Linked DNA regions of Arabidopsis thaliana. The protein of the gene in region 2 interacts with the protein of the main gene of each other region in a pairwise test. Each region holds a gene or a part of one and is shown on either strand. Other genes may lie near its edges.

Region 1 (8,547 bases), on a different chromosome or scaffold from region 2:
CCGTCTTTCTTTGATTTGTATGGAACATACTTTTCTTTCAACCAAGAACAAGTAACCCTACACATTTCATTTCTTTTGATCATAAACTCTTTGTGTACTCATTGCCTACATTTATGCTATTATCATTGCTTTCTATAGGCTTGGACTATATTATTTGCATATTGCCATTAATATATTGTAAAATCAAACATCTCGCATAATACCATGAAAAAGTTTTGTATGCATACTATACGTTGTTTATGTATGAATTCATGCTATAAAGTCAAAATGCAAATTCATATTTTCACCAAATGTAGTAGTAGTAGTAACGTTTTCACACGATTATATTAATTTCAGTTTTAAGTTCATTTTATAGTATTACTTATATTTATTTATATAATTTCATTAGTAATAGGAATAAATACTAAAATATATATCTCCCCTATTCTATCATCGTTTTCATGAACCGTTGACCTTCTTGAAACTACAACTAGGTATATAATTGTTGTGTGCAAATAACCAAAGTGGGTTACTGAGAGACTTGCGAAAGTATAAAACCAATAATTTGCTCCAGTGGTGGTAAGAAATGCAAAAACAAAAACACTATTTATTAAAAACAAAAAGAACAATTCTTATTGGATCGTTAAAACTCGAAACTAGTTATGAACCAACCATAGCATGAAACGTTTTGTTTTTGGTACATTATGCTACAAAGTTTACCACCAAATAGAAAAAGTCTTCGTTACCATCGATTGATCTATAGATTTTGCTTTTGCATGACCTTTCCCATCAACTTGTGGCTATTTTGCCCTTAAGGATACACAAAATGTCTTTCTAATTAGTCCCATAGTACATCTATCCACTGTTGGAATCGAGATCCTATGTCCTCGTAACGATTGCGAATTATTATTTATGTCTCTACATTATGTGGGGCAACTTTGTTTTAAGTTTTGAAATGTCTTCAACGTTCCCTAAAAAATGTTTGCAAAACACAGCTAGTATATTTAGAAATTACAATAAGAGTGGTGGATACGGAACAAACACAAATCGACATTAATGTTTGTACGTTGACGATAAAAAGAAGAGTAATCGATAAAAAAAAACTATAGATAATCCCAATAGATGATGGTTTAGTGTTGTTTGAAAATACTCTCTCAAAATGAGATTTACAGCTCTCTTCCTACTAATTGACCTGTTTAGAGGAGACTAATTTACATGCTCTAGTTTCCGGCGCATAAAAAATGAAAGTTTGTGTTAATCAAAGAAAAAAAATATAACTAATTTTTATTTCGTTGATTCTAATGGACCTACATTCCGATCCTCTTAAGTGAAAAAGATGCTTTCGTACCCCATAAATAAAATAAAATTATATATTTGGCTTAGAGAAGTGATATCGACGAGAAAAAATTCTTCAAATAAATTTATCGACGGACCCATATTGTATATATAGAATGTAATGGAGAAGAACAATCATTTCCCCTAATACAAGGGAAGATTGTATACACATTTCAGGAGGAAGACTATCTAAGTTAGTGCACTTTTGTTAATTTTGGTTCAAATTTAGGTTTTAGATGTAACAAATTTGATTTTTCATTTTTGGTTCGGTTTGTTACCATCATCCAAATGAAATATTTTGGATACATATAGATATATAATCATTTTAGTTTAAACTTGGATTGGACTGAATTAGATAAATATAATCAATATCATCTAGTAGTAATAATGTGATATGTGGGTTAATTTTTCTACTAAACAAACACCACGAGTTGGGTTGATATTATGTATCCTCATTATGGAGTGAGGCTTAAACAGGAAATTATAAGTTGTTTTGTTCTTAAATGAGTGATTATGTATTATGTATGATGATGATGATGAGTAGGCCAATTTAGTGACTGACTACAACGTGTTCCTACAATATATTGGTATATATGCAGTGATCCTACTATTCGAATTTCGTTCTTGGAATGTAACTAATCGTAAACAAAATATCTATAAAAAAAAACAATATTTATATACTTTACCGTAGGGGTAGCTATGTATAACTCGTTTGAGATATTCTCTCGATATGTTACCTAAATCGATTTGATTCCAAACAAAAAATTCTGGCTAATTAACCTGACTAATCATGGATTGGAACAGATATACAATTCATATACAGAGCAGTACTATCGTGTCTTGTCTGGTTAATTATCCGGACCGGACTAAACACCCGTTTAATGTGAACATAACCAAAGCAATCAAGTATCTGAGCTTAATTAATTATTACTGTTGATTAAGTTAATGATTAATTAGGCAAAAAAGTAGATTTGTATGCTGCTCACATGGGTTTGCGTGAAATAATGCTTTTAACCATCTTTTTGTCTCTCCTATACAATTCGAGCTAAAAAGCTAAGTCGTGTCCTTTATTTTATTTTATTTTTCTTTACATTGTTCTTTTGCTGTTATGATTTATGAATGTTGCACGAGATGTTATCTATCTACTATTTTAAAACACAATTGTATATTTTTTTTCGTCAAGGACTTGAAGTTAAAACACAATTGCTTACGAAAATATCAGTAAATTTACTGTTTCAAGAAATGATTATGCCTTCCATTTTACAACAATTATCGTTGTGAAATTCTTAATACATTAAAAAATGTTATAACGCCATTTAGTTTGAAACGTAAATGTGTTAAAGAGATTGAAAAAAAAGAAAGAGTTTACTAATTATAAAATTCAATATAATAACAATTTTTTTGAAATTCAATATAATTAGTATTTTTTTTTTTGAATACCAAGAGGTTTTGGACTGAAACCCGTAATCCCTCCGTACCCGAAACTACAGCATATAATATTACTTTTGTTCTAAACGTCATTCGAACTGGCGATCTCTAAGTTTCGTCTAGGGTTTTTACTAATTGAATTAACAACACTTGGTTATAATTAGTAATTATTTGTCACTAGCTTTCTTCCTCTGTATTTATAATTGATAGCATATTAATCAGTAACCTATATATAAGTAAGTATATTTGAATTTTTGTTTTTAGTAGTAGTTCTATTTTTAATGAAAACATTTTTAAACCTAAATGAAAAAATAATTATCATTTTTGTTCAACTATCCAAATTCACCTTCGTATAATACATGTCGGATTCAATTTCGTGTAATATATGTCGTTTGAAGAATAACGGGTGAGAGTGAGATAGAAGCGACCTGAAAACGAAAGGCAACTCTTTTTATACCTAAAGATTCCTTTTTTCCTAGTCAGTCAAAAGAAGTCAACGGTTAAGTCAGTTGACTTCAGATGACGATTAATGACGTCAGCATCAGTCCTTCCTCTGTTAAATAGAAACCAAACCACTTCGAGTTTCACTCACTCACACACACACACATAAACAAACACACAAAGACACATAAACACCACAATAAACTAAAACCCACCATGTGTGGACACGTCAGCACTTCTATAACCTCCGGCGACAACTGTCCATGTTTTCTATACTCCGACGACATAGTGGCTCCTCCTCAGCTGCTTGATCATCATCATCATCAGTTCCCGCCTCCGCCTTTGGCGCTTCTTATGATGAGCCAAAACTCTCTATACGCGGCCGAGGCGGTTTCAGGGTTCGGTTACTTTGATTCCGGCATGAACGGTGGTGGTGGAAGCAGCAGCTGCGACTCGCCAAGCTCTATGGGGAGTGGCGGAGAGAGTCTTGTTATGCAGAGGAGTGTTAGTAGCCATAATGGCTTTTCCGGTAATTACACAGCGGCCCATGATTTCGTTAACGATGATGATGGGCCAGTGAGACGGGCCCTTAGCGCCGGAGATCTACCCGTAAGTAATATTATATACACACTTGCAGTTTCGAGATTTCAAACGTTAACTTTTATGTTTTCGTTTACGTATGAAATTTTTCACATTTTATAAAACGAAACATTATATTGTTGGTTTGTTTTATGGTTTTGCAAGAGTGTAAAATGAAAACACCAAAACACAAATAAATTATCTAAACATACTAAAATTTGGGGTTTTATTTGAAAATAATAATAATTCTATCATAACATAAGACGACACTGTTTTGGTATGTGTGTAGAGGAGTAGCAGAAGAGAGAGCAGTACGGTGTGGAGTGAGAGCAATGCAATAATAGAAGGAATGAGCAAAGCCTACAAGTATAGTCCTGAGGAGAAGAAAGAAAAGATCGAGAAATATCGTAGCAAACGAAACCTTAGGAATTTCAACAAGAGGATTAAGGTAATTTTATAAATGTTTTACAGTTGTTTCTTTGTTCTAAACTGTTTGTTAGCATAAATTCTTATATCTTATTTTAACATATAAGAATTTATCATTTGATTCATATTGTTCTTCATCACATAGAGTCCATGTACACCTAACCTATATTATATATTCAACATGTGTATATATGTGTCGCATGGAAAACTTTTGAGGACTTGACATGTACAGTAGTTGTATGGAACAGTGACATGCACCTTCACATATATTGATGCAACCATTTTCTAATCAAGCATACAATTTCCTATAAATTTCTTCATTAATCAACTAATAATGATTTCTGTATAATTTCATACACAAGAGCATATATAAATGTCTATTTTCTTAAAATCAAATGTATAAGATATCTTTTCTTAGTAATACTGTTTTTTTTTCACATTTAATACAAAACTAAATGGTTCGTTGACCAAAAAAAAAAAAAAAAACAGGCTCAATGTATCATATCAATCACTCTTATCACTAAAAAGTAACATTGAATTTTTCTTTTCAATCTTATCTTCAAACATAAATAGAATTTCATCTGATATATATGAGTATGTGAACGAGAATTAATGTTCTGTCACATCATATTTGGGTCTAAGGAATCCTTTGAGATAGACACATCAAGCTCCAAGGTTGCTACAAGTTTTTTTCTCCATTAGTTTTTTCTTACAAGAAGGTCCACAAATATATTTCATTGCTAATTAAAGATCGGATTGGAGTATTCATGTACTAACATATTCAAACCGTATCTCAATGAGATATTTCTGCTCGCGTTATAATTTTTTGACCGACAAGTTTTGACTTGTGAATGATCTAAAAACTATCACAATACTTTGGGACAGGTTTAATAATAATCTTTTATCTTTCTATTAGTACGAATGCAGGAAGACATTAGCGGACAGTAGGCCAAGAATAAGAGGGAGATTTGCAAGAAATGATGAGATCTCACAACAAGAACAAGTTGATGTTATGGAAGCCGTGGTAGGAGATGTCGACACGTGGGCATCTTTTCTTGATTCTTTCTCTGCTAATCACTTCCTCAACTAATTTAATCTCTTCTATGTTTGTTTTTCTTATATATGTTTATATATGGCACTTTAATTTGTTTTGGTTTAAAAGATTTCCCCATGTTGCTAAACTCATGTGTAGGTTTTGTGTTATCTTTGTATATAAGAATAACATATCTTGTATTTTTGATCTGAGATATTTGCAAACTAATCCTTTTTCACTGGCCATACAATTCTGCATGAGTGGTATATGCCACTTTGTCAATTGACGATTGCAATTGTCTTAGCATGGCACTGAGTTCTATAAGTGAGATAAATGGGGTTTTAGATAGGTTAAAGGCAAAACAAAACGATATTCACCTATTGAGAACAAAGTGGATTTGAGATAAAACGTCGTCGCCGTATTAGATCCGTCATTTAAATTCGGTAGTCCATAAGTGAGTTGCAAACGATATACATAAAACAATTAAAAATATCGAACTCCAACTAAAACAAATTGATTACACATCGTTAATGTATATGGACCCTTAAATAGTTAATGTATAGTTTAGTATGTTCCTTAATGGTCTGATTTTTCTTTTACCAACTTGATTTACAAAAGTATTTAGAAAGTACAAAGATGATAACTTTTAGCATTGAAAAACATATAATGAACACATGGCCATGTTACTTTGATGATTTCATAATACTCTCACGTTGATTACACATCGTGCTAAGTACTAGCAATCTCCAAAGGTAAACATATATTATATACCTTAAGAATTCTTAAGATATCAAAGAAGCTTCCACTCAAATAAACTAACTTAAAGTAATCAACCCATACATTCATTCTCATAAGTCAGTATATAAAAAAAGCTAGAGGAAAACATACTAGCAATTATTTTTGCCAAAAAAAAAAGCTATGGAAAAGTTTCTCAGCACTTTTGATATTTTGCAAGAAAAAATGTTACTTTGATTGTAAGACTATATTATTTTCCAACAGTAACAAAAATCATTTATTTTTATTTAAAAGTGAAAATAATTTGAATGTTAGGCATCTTTAGTAATAAGAGAATAATTTTTCTCACAAGTAGGTAATTAGTAATAATGTGAAGAATAATGCTTCTCAATTAGATTATAAATAAAGTAGTTTTGAAAAAGGAAAGAGAGCAGTCTTTCTTCTTTAGCAATGGCTATGGAGGGAGATGTAGGCCCTCCGGCGACATTGTCCCCGACTTTTGTCGGCCGGCGGTAGATTTACCGACTCCTCCACTCTTAAATCTTTTTAACTTTTTTTTTTCCTTTTTAATATTTTAACTAAAAGCCTTTTTCTTGAACACGAGTACACAAAGAATCAACTCTAGAGAATAAATTAGATTCTTTCTTTCCCCCATTTTATAATCGGTTCAAAAATGAAACCACGAGACTTGCGTGGGTATAAATTAATGGACAAAACTTGTACTTATAAGAATGATCAAGCTCTTCAATGTTTTCTTTTTTTACTGATCCTTTTGAACCTTGATTGAAGTAGAAAAGGCTTGAAAGGCCTTAGTTGCGGTAAACGAACTCTACTCCTCTTAGCTTGCGTCTTACCTACATTATGGATTGATATAACATTAGACTGAAATCTATACTCCAAACTTATGTGTTAGGTTAGATTTGCAAATGAGGAAACTTAGATCTCGTACCTGATTTTGTGTCATTGTTATTTTCAGAGGATTGGACTTGGGCTTGGTGACTAGCTTCGGTTTCAGTCTTTTCAACCTTCTCGTCTTCAATTGTTAACTCTTCGACCTTATTGTCTTCCATTGTTATCTCAAAGGTGTTGTGGTTTGGAACTGATGCCTCTTCCTCGAGCTTTGTCTCATCGGACTCTAGTCTTGATGCTTCGTCATGGTCTTGCACAACCGCATCTGGACTGAGAGATTTACCTGATTCACTTAGCAAATCGGTAGTCTCAGAGGATAAGTTAGGAAGAATAATCTTACTGTCACCTGTTTCATGCATCTGGTCTTCCATTGTGACCTCCATGTACTCGTCGTGATTTGCTTCCGAAGAACAATCAATTTTCATCTCATCAGCAATGGATGTGAGGTGTTCAGGCTCAGGGATATGCTTCTCATCATCAATGGATGCGTGGTGTCCAGACTCAGTGATATGCATCTCATCATTACTAGCATGACCAGTAGTAGCTCTTTCTTTGCTGTTTTCGTCCACTGAGGCTTCTTCTTCAAAAGCAGCATTTCCCATGTTATTCACTTCAACAGGACTTTGTGGGATCCCATGATCGCTTTTTGACGGTGACATTGATCCACCTTCGGAAGTCGACTCAATATTCATGCTAACATCCGACGCTGCTTCTGACTTTGTACATCTTGTCAGTGTAAAGGGAGTAGCCGTCTGATTTTGCACCAAAATCCCCTGGCCATGGCTGGCACTGCATTTCCTTAGGGCAAATGCTTCTTCTTTGAGGACATTTGTAGTAGGTTCCACCTTATTGTCATCTTCAGACATCAGCATGTCAATTTGGCTTATGGTTTCAATTTCCCGAAGGTTATCATCAGATGAAGCTGTGGCCATACGTAGTTCAGAAACTTGATTACTACTGTGCACCTGAGTGTCAATCACCTTAGCTGCAGAAGGCTGAGTCACTGATTCAGTTCCTACAATATCCTTAACCCGGAAACCATGTTTTGGCAAGCCATCAAGAACAGAGGTGAAATCAATCGCCTTCGAGGATTTGTGCGCCACAACATTTGTGGCATCAAAAGCCTTTGCAAGATCATCCAAAAGCATGTCACCTTCACCGCTCGAAAGGCGATCCCATTTCATGCAATCTTCAGACAGAGGCTGTTCGAGGCTAAAAGTATCACCAGCAGAAAGTAATTCAACCCTGACAGCTTCTTTGTGAAACCGTTTTTTCTTTAAAACCTTGGCTATCATATTCCTGAAAGCAATTTAAAATCCATTCTCAATGACGCTTAGCAGCATCAAATAACACAATTGCTAGACGAATTTGATACATACCTACAATTTTTTGAAATGGCAGCTCTAGCTCTTTCAGCAGAGAGTCCAAGTAAGAACATGAGATTTATGACATCATTTGGACCTCTAAGTTCTGTGACTGAAGGAGCACCACTTGATATAATTAGATTCTTCCCCCTAGTCCAATCCACCAGTAACTAGATACACCATATCACAAGACAGTATAAGCAAGTTCTCATAAAACTTTCACATGATCAACTAATTGACAATAAAATTTTCCACAGAATCTCACCTTAGCATTTGATATAACTTGTCTCCTCGTTTGTGCATCCATAAGGATATCAG
Region 2 (9,053 bases):
ATTCAAACTTGAACTTGATAAATTCCCCATAAGTAAACGCTCTCAGTAGGATTTTTCACTCAAAATTTTATTGAATCTAAAGCAATGAACATAAGTGATTCACAGAGAAATACAATTAAACAGGAAAAATGGGACAAATACGAGTAAAATCGGGAATAAAACCCAAATTTAAGCAGCCGAAATACTTATGGAAATACTGGAAATCTTCACTAATGGTGTCAGTAATCACACGAGCTAAGGAGAATAACAAAGAGGAACCAATACTAGTTTCTCGTGGAGATCTGAGGATTGAGGAGACGAAACACATATCTAAACAAAACTATGTACATATGATTCAGGAATGAGGTAAATAAGGAAGAGACGTGAAACCTGCTTTCGTGAGCTCAGTTTCTACTGTGCCAGAGCGAGAGAGAATGAGAAGACGAGGAAGAAGATGGAGCAGAGAAATCGAGTTGAAGAAAACTAAGTAGAAGACGAAAATGATTCTCCTTATTTCTCGAATCTTTTAACTTTTGATTCTAGAAGCCACAATTAATAAAGGGATATAATATTTTAATTAAAGGTAAAGGTCCTCCTCTATATTAACTTGAAATGACAATTAAAAATTCGAGAATATTATGAACTCTTTTCTACAAAGTTGCAAATTGTTACCTTGTTATGTTCAATGCTCATAATCTTCCAGAATTGGTTAATGAAAACAAAAAAAGAATCAATTCTTTTTTTGGACGATGGAATAGAATAGAATCGCCAAAAGTAGAGATAGTGAATTAGATTCTATTCCTCTTTCATTGTTACAAATAAATTCGAAAAACAGCCACTTCTATATTAAGGGAACTCACATGTGTTTTTTACTACAAAATTTCAAAAGTTTGAGAATTTGAAGAGGTCGCTTTCTTTCAATATGCGTTTTTAGTTTTTACCAAAAGCTCTTCCCAAAACTCATATATGTGTTTTTTTACCAAAGGTTTTTCACTATGATACAACAGGCTCTCTATCCTTTAAAGGGGTCCAAAAATCTTTTTCCAAAAGAGTTGTGAAACAAATCTCTAATCTCATTCCAAGATAAAACTGGTCACTTTTACTCTTAAACCAAATGAAGTCAGTTTCTTTCCAGGGCTCTATTCTTCCTGCTGCTCATATATCTGCATGTATGCTTCCGATAGTTCTACCATCTGGGGAAGTGTCTCTGCAACATGAAGATCCTGCATCTCGTACCTGCAATGGACATTATCCCCCAAATGAATTTATATCTTTCTTATGCACAGATCTAGATCATGCATTTGTGAACATGAAACACAATAATAGTTAATGATTGAGAAAGCTTACCATAGTTCTTGTGACTTGCGCTGCACAAAGACTCTGAAGTACCCGTCCTCAGGCTTACCATCATGTACAATGTTAGCGATTAGATTATACTTTGAACACACATTCTCCCCTTCTGGTGCTCTAGGCAATGATGGTATGTAATCCCTCAGCTCCATGTCCTTCACTGGGAAGTTAACTGTGGCATAGAAAAAGAAATTGTATCAAATTAACCAGGTATTAGGGGATCCTTATACAGCATTAACGTCACAAAAATTTCAAACAGACTCACCCAATGTAGGGTTCTTCTCTTTGAAGAAGTTATTCTTCTTGAACCGAACCATATGGAACATCAAGTAACGAGGAGATTTGATTACACGGTATCTCATTCTGGCCAGCTTAGGCCGAACCACCTCTGTCACCGTTTCTCCATCAAACTTCTTCAATAAATCGAATAGAGCAACCTGACCCAAAAATCAAAGAAATTAGATTCCACTAACCTCACTTTGCAAACTAAACACTCTAAGACGCATATACGAGGTAGCAAGCCATAAAGGCTACAGGAGCTCCAAACAACCAATGAGTCAGAGAATTCTACACTTTCGCAAGTCATGAACTAGATTCGAAAAAGAAAGTTTACTCCAGGACATTAAATTGGCAATGGCACTATTTAAGAATCCCTTAATTGTATCTCAACCAAATGTGACATTATTTATGTAGCTGTATATTGAGAATCATAAGTTTTCTAGCACTCCACGTTATCATTTTTCTGAAATGCATTTTTTTAATGGCACAAAGTAGCAAGACTTTCAAGATTTGAAATAGCCATATACCTGCGGAATAATGTTTTTCTCCATGACATCTTTGAAAAGAGGAGGCGGTGGCAAATCTAGCCCAAGCATCAGAAACGGCATCCTGGAGATTTCTTTGTTTTCATTGCCTTGATACTCTTTCACAACCTCCAACTCACCCTGTAATGGTTAACAGGTTACATGAGATACAGCTTTTTTGTAAGAAATTATATCAAACTGCATTATGTTGACATTTCAAAGGACGGACACATACCTGGAAGCACTTGTGGATGATACTGCTAGCGTCCTTTGAAGTTCTAAGATCCATGTGCAAAGTGTTGAGGAGCCACGACATAAACTCTACTGGATCTGATTGTTGGCCAATCCTAAAGCGTTTCTTGCTGGCTTTCATGACAGCTTGCAAGAACTCATGTGGACTCACCTGTTGATGCAAGGTAACTTAAATTAGCGAGGTCCTCAATAGGTGAGTGCATAACAAAAACTAAAAAAGTGAGAGGCATAAATTGAGTCAGACTTGTCCTTTAAAGTTTCGAGCATGCCAAATCTTGCGAGTTAGTTCCCCAAAACGGTGACCAAGAGGAGACTTGCAGTGCTGATAATTTTCAGGAATGAGGAAGAAATTCCTTAGAGGAGTAACTCTCATCAACGACTGGATTGTAACATTCACAAACTCTGTCTTTTGTATGTTGTTCAACCCCACCTACATATTTACAAGCTTAACCTTTAGGAGACATTAATTTCAAGATCAAGTGTAATCAAAGAGAAAGGATTACCATTCCTGGAAGATAGTCGGAGCCATCAAGAGCCCTAGACCACTGCCTATTCTTGTCAAGCTCGTTTACTTGTGCTCTACTAAACCTGTAAATGGATAGCACCGAAGCCTTCATACAAAGGAACTGAAAAATCAAAGAAAAATTGACAAAACATGAAAGAAGAGTAATATGTTCAAGCTATCATGCAAAAAAATATAAATAGATGGTAGATGATACAGAGAACTAGTAAGAAGAAACTGATTGAGATAATAGTCAAAGCAATTTTGTTGTTGTTAACTACGTGCAAAGGCTCACATGTTCACAAATCAATACCCAAAATGCAGTAAGAACTATGATGTAGTTAGTCACAAGATCTAATATACCTTGGGTTTAAAACATGGCGAATGTCATCCAAAGAAGGGTCATTGATCTCGTAACTATCAGGAAGACAATAAACCTTCTCTGTCAGAAGATTGATGTAAACGTGGTGTCCTGCTTCCAAGCTATGTGTATAAGCATGAGACTTCTGGCTTCTTCCTTGAAAGTACTTCCCACAAACAAGACACGCATACACATTCAGATTTGACAATGAGACAGAGCAAAACCTCTCGAAATCAAAATCCAACACCTGAAATCAACCATAAGATATGAGTTTAAACGCTAATCTCAAACCAGCAATATAATGAACCTAGCAGAAGCTTAAAGATCCACCATAGATTAGATACATTACAAGTACCAAACACAAGAAATTGGTCAATGATATACCTGACGATTAACAGTATCAAGATAAGGACAATCACGACGAACTTCAACATGGCGTGAATGCTTTCCTCTCCCCTTCGAAGCATCATCATCATCATCTTCGTCGTCATCGACCTCTACTTGAGCTTCTCCTTTCACTTTGTTACCATTTCCCTCTCCTTTCGCAACTACATTACAACGAGTTTGCGATTTATTCTGCTGGTTATTATCATCATCGTAAGCATTAGCAAACGGCAAAAGAGGATTGTTGAAACCTAGTGGTGGAGGTGGCGAATCAGACCGTTCCATCACTCTCTTCCTCTTCACCTCTCTCTCTTCCTCAGAAACACCATTCTTCACTTCTCTTTCACCTTTCATTCTCAAAATTTTCCCTAAGCTAAAGCTTGCTTCAAAAACCTTAGAACACAAAATCCCAGCGATTCACGAAGAATCCTCAACCAAAGAAGCAATGAACTCTTCCAAAAAACGCCAAATACTTCAAATCAGAAGCGTCGACAGTCGCGAATCTACTCGAACTTATCTCTCGTTCCCAATTTTCTCGAGAAACTTCAAAATCCGCCACAACGCAGACGTTAAACAAACAACCTATTAAAGCTTCAAGAGCCGACTCAAGTCTCACCCAGATTGATTAACTCGGTTAAAAGGCCGAATATTTATTATTGGGCCACACTGTTATAGCCCAATAACAATCTGTTCCATTTATATTACTTCTGTCAGCAGTATTCAGTAATTGATCTGTATTCACGATCCGATACTTATCGAATAACCATTAATACCCTCAAGCTTCTCGAAGCAAACTATAAACGCGTGAAAATCTACAAGGACGTATTCGACATTCCACGAGTAAAGAGATGAGTTCTGAAGTTAAAGCCAGCTGGCGAAGAAGTAAAAAAGCAAATAGATTAGCCAAAATACGACAACACCCTCTACCTACAAGCCATAGATACCATGACTCATAAGGGCAACACCGACATTTGTCATCATTTGATAAATCTAACCAACCCTGAAGGGCATATTCGTCTTTCCAAATAGTTATAAAGAGACAGAGACGAAGAAGGAGAGAGAGAAAGAGACAAGATTAGAGAAGAGGATAAGAGAGAGAAAGATATAGAGAATTTGTTGTCTTTTTTTCTTTTTCTTTTGTGGGGTATTTGTTTTTTTTTTTCTCCTTAAAAAGTTTTTTTTTTTGTGTGTATGAAAAAAAAAGCTTTGAAATTCTCTCTCGACAATGGTGTCGGACCAGGATCTAGCGAAAGGAGTCGAGACTTTGCTTCGACAATCCGACCCTAGCTCTCTCACATCGTTAAGCAGTATTGTTCAGCAGCTTGAAGCTAAGTTAGGGTTAGACCTCACGGAGAAGACGACTTTCATCAGAGATCAGATCAATATCCTCCTCCGTGCTCACCAAAACCCTTCTGCCTCCGTCGCCTCCGCTTCATCCGTACAACAATCTCACCCTCCTCCTCCGCCGTCTTCTCACCAGCAGCAGAATTTGCATTCCGGCGTCAATGTTCCTCCGATGGCGAAAGGGCATTTCACACTTAGCCATCCTTCGCAATTCTCTGTTTCTTCTCAATCACAACAATATCCTTCACATTTCGCTCTTCAGCCTCCTTATCACTCTTATGACCTAAATTTCCGGCAGCCTTATCCGGTTTACATGCCGCCGCAACAGCACCAGCATCAGCAGCAGTCTCCGCGACAACAACAATCCTCTGTGATGCTCTCACATGGCGGGAATGCTTCTCTATCTGTTAATCAAGCCCCAAAAGAAAGGTAGGGTTTGCAACATATTTCAAATGTTGGTACGTAATTTTGCTCAAGGTTGTTCCAATTTCAGTAATTTAGGGCTTTTGCTACTTTCATGGAAAACATGATTTTCCATTTTAGGAATGTCTAAATCTTTTGTCAATTTTGTTCATTTACGGGTTTTTAGGTTTTACATGCTCATGTTTAGAATTATCATCCTGTGATATTTTTAGCACATTGATTCATACAACGTTCTATTATAGTGTGATTATTTCTTTCTGATCTACCTAAATTTGGCACATCAACGAAATTTGTCAACTTTTCCTTTGCAGTGCTCCGGCTGGAACTAAAAGAAAGGGTGGTCCTGGAGGACTAAACAAAGTCTGTAGGGTTTCTCCAGAACTTGAAGTAGTTGTTGGTGAACCTGCTCTTCCTAGAACTGAGGTTATCATTGTCTTTCATTTATGATTATAATGTGTATAAGCAATTGTGGTTGTTATTTATGTGTTGCTGTGTTTGGCTTTTGGTTTTAGATTGTGAGGCAATTGTGGGCTTATATAAGGAAGAATAACCTTCAAGACCCGAGTAACAAGCGGAAGATCATCTGTGATGATGCGTTGCGTGTGGTTTTTGAGACTGATTGCACTGACATGTTCAAGATGAATAAGTTGCTTGCTAAGCATATTCTCCCGCTTGATCCATCAAGTAATGGTTAAACACAAGCGTTTTTTGCTGAGTTCCAACTGTGCTTGGTTTGTTCAAGGTTACTGACTGTTTGAGTCACTTTTGGCAGAGGACTCTGGTCAAGCAAAAAAGGCAAAAACTGAGGTGGAGACTAAGACTGAGACCACCGAGCCTATTAGTTCAACTGCTATTAGTTCAACTGTTACATTATCTGAGCCACTTGGTAAGTTCTTTGGCACTGGTGAGACGGAGATGGCAGACGAAGAGATTATTCGCCGTGTTTGGGAATACATAAAACTCAACAATTTAGAGGTAATGATTTTAATCTTGAAATCCTCTGGTTTCTCCTTATTGCTTCGAATTTTTTTCCTGTTTGCTGCTAACTAAAGCTGGTATTGTGGTTTACTCTATAAGATAATTTACAGTATAGGATTTCACATAACTTTATGTTATAGAGCATAGTGAATGGCCATAAACAAGAAAATTAAGATTTGTTTATTCTGCTTTTCAATTTTCTTTCAGGACCCAGTAAATCCAATGGCTATTCAGTGTGATGAAAAGCTCCGAGATCTTCTTGGATGTGAAAGCATTTCAGCTGTGGGGATAAATGAGATGCTGAGGCGCCATATGTACAAGCAGTCGTGATATCTTCTGGTCTGACTTAATTAACTAGGAACTACTAGTGTAAGTGAAGTTTGATTTAACAGATTATGATACTTATATATCAGCATTGTCCAAATATGGTAATTGACTTCTGTATCACAACTCTCTTGCAGGTGTGTATCTAGGGAACCTACTTATGACTCCTTGCTGTAGAACTCTGATAGGGAAGAAAAGATCCTTTTCACTTTTAACTTCCTTTAATGCTATTTTAATCTTCCGTTGGGTTCTTTGTTTTAGTTGGTTGTGTATCGACATGCTTAGGTTGATGTTGTATTTAGTATTGTACCGAAACTCTAGTGTTAAGGGTGAAACGGCGCAGATGTTTTGTATTAAACGCCATTCACCCATGAATGTCTTAGGAAAAAAAAACTCATGTGTTTAACTATGTTTTCCCTGTTGGAAATATTTGCATCCTACTGATAGAAAAATCTTATTCCCTATGCTATGGTTTTTTTTCCTGCTATCTTCCATGTTATTTGCTGTGTTTTTATCAGAATCTCAGACGTGTGACGTAGAAAGCGGCTGCAGCAAGCAGCAGAAGAACAAGTAGCAGGAGTGCCATTGCTTGTCTCCTTGTGTTTTCTGCTTGTCTCAAGAAAGTGACTATCTTCTCAGCAATACTCACTGCAAACGCCATAGTTCTCTGCATCAGAAGACAAATGAGAAACCACAATAGGTAAGTAAGTGAATCACATGATGACATAAATCTTATGAACATGACAGACTCACTAGTCTTAGGTGCTCTATGTGGAAAATTGGTTCCATGAACATCTCCACATTCCTGCATTGTTTGGTTTAAATATGGTCATGATTCACGGGTTATAATTGTTATGATAACTGAATTTAGAGTGGAACGAATACTGACTTTATCAATAGCTTTCCCTGGTACATATGGCAAATGTGGAAACTGAATCCCTTCCCCAATTGGATGTGTGACTTGTCACATTCTGCACATTACAGGTAAACCGTCATGAGAACAATCATTTCAATTGGATTTGTCAATTTTTATTTGGTCTTGATCCTGGTCTGGTGAAAGGAAGGCTTATTCCGGTTTGGTATTCTGGAGTGTTTGAAGGTTTTGACTTTCCGGTTTCCTTGACTGACCCAAATAGGATCGGTTGCGTATAAGGTTATCAGTTATTCGGATTAGGATATAGGGACTAGGGGACTAACCGAGTTGCCATTGAACTCCAACGGTCATGCCATCTTTGAACGTTGGTTTAACAATAATCTTGATATCCTTTCCCAGCTTCATGATCAACCAGTAGAAGAAAGCCATAACTTGCTGCATGTATAAAACCATATTTACCCTTATAACATAAGGATTTCAAAAATAAAGATTTGTGAAAGAAAAGTTATTGTTACCATTACAACATATGCTAACCTTCTTCCCTTGCAAGAGTCGATACTTAGATAAAAAGTTGGAAAAGAATTGGCATTCATCTCCAATAACTTCTGAAATTCCTTCGATGTTTCGGTCCTTGATATCGGAATATAGTTTTAGAACTGTCTCCTCCGCCCGATAGTCTTTCTCCATGATGTTTCGGTCCTTGATATCAGTGTATAGTTTTAGAATTGTCTCCTTCGCTCGATAGTCTTCCTTCTTATCGTCATTCTCTTCATCTTCGCTCTCTTCCTGATCTGATTTCTCTTCATCTATGCTCTCTTCCCAATCTGATTCCGATTTTCTTACCCTTGTGTAATGCTTCAAAGTGCTTCGATGTGAGTGTGATAGATCCAGATGAAAACTCGTATTGGTAGAACCCTTTCGAATTGACACGCGAGAATTCTTCGTGTAAATTGAGCATGAGCTAAAGCTATTTATCCCTGAACATAGTTTAGATGAAAACATTGTTTGCGTAATTGACATATATGAGGATGCCATTGCTTGTAAAATGGAGGATGGTTTTGCTGACTACATAAGATTGCAATACTTTATAAAAAGCTTTGTGAAGAACATAGATTTTCATTTGTATAAGTGAAGTCTGGAACAAACGAATAAAAGAATGTGTTTGTTTGTGGACAAAGCAAAGCGATGAAAAATGTAGCAAGTGTTGGAAGATAAGAATAATTTTCGATTTTTTCGTAATGGGACTTAAGGATAGATCGTTAGTGTAATAAATAGACAGTTAAAGAACCATGACGGCTCTTTACCTGTTATGTCTCAATACAAACCAAGCAGTGCTTGGCAAGCACCAAAATAAAAATCTAAGAAACTCAATTGTACAAATGAGCGATGATGATCCACATACTAAGCATTAACACCAGTCACAATACATTCTTCAAATAGGTAAATCACACAAACTAACTTCAGTCAGAGCCATTCCAC

The links. Proteins that work in one complex are often made in the same cells at the same time.
Region 1: the proteins of AT4G22360 (region 2) and AT5G59990 interact in a two-hybrid assay, tested with the Arabidopsis thaliana proteins (one large-scale study listed by BioGRID).

Annotation. Positions count from the first base shown.
Region 1 is NC_003076.8:24,147,937-24,156,483, reverse strand, and holds AT5G59990 (CCT motif family protein), read left to right. Parts: upstream 1-3,282; 5' UTR 3,283-3,399; coding exon 3,400-3,792; intron 3,793-4,051; coding exon 4,052-4,210; coding exon of another isoform or gene 4,211-4,222; exon of another isoform or gene 4,223-4,633; intron 4,634-5,104; coding exon 5,105-5,278; 3' UTR 5,279-5,550; downstream 5,551-8,547. Other genes in the region: GAF1 (Polymerase/histidinol phosphatase-like protein), read right to left, coding at 6,701-6,810, 6,906-8,164, 8,245-8,399, 8,495-8,547.
Region 2 is NC_003075.7:11,802,955-11,812,007, forward strand, and holds AT4G22360 (SWIB complex BAF60b domain-containing protein), read left to right. Parts: upstream 1-4,302; 5' UTR 4,303-4,856; coding exon 4,857-5,404; intron 5,405-5,709; coding exon 5,710-5,821; intron 5,822-5,910; coding exon 5,911-6,082; intron 6,083-6,170; coding exon 6,171-6,373; intron 6,374-6,583; coding exon 6,584-6,706; 3' UTR 6,707-6,745; intron 6,746-6,837; 3' UTR 6,838-7,163; downstream 7,164-9,053. Other genes in the region: AT4G22350 (Ubiquitin C-terminal hydrolases superfamily protein), read right to left, coding at 1,119-1,215, 1,327-1,501, 1,595-1,766, 2,136-2,273, 2,368-2,535, 2,629-2,814, 2,888-2,972, 3,250-3,494 and 1 more; AT4G22370 (uncharacterized protein), read right to left, coding at 7,215-7,367, 7,454-7,505, 7,590-7,671, 7,898-8,009, 8,109-8,609.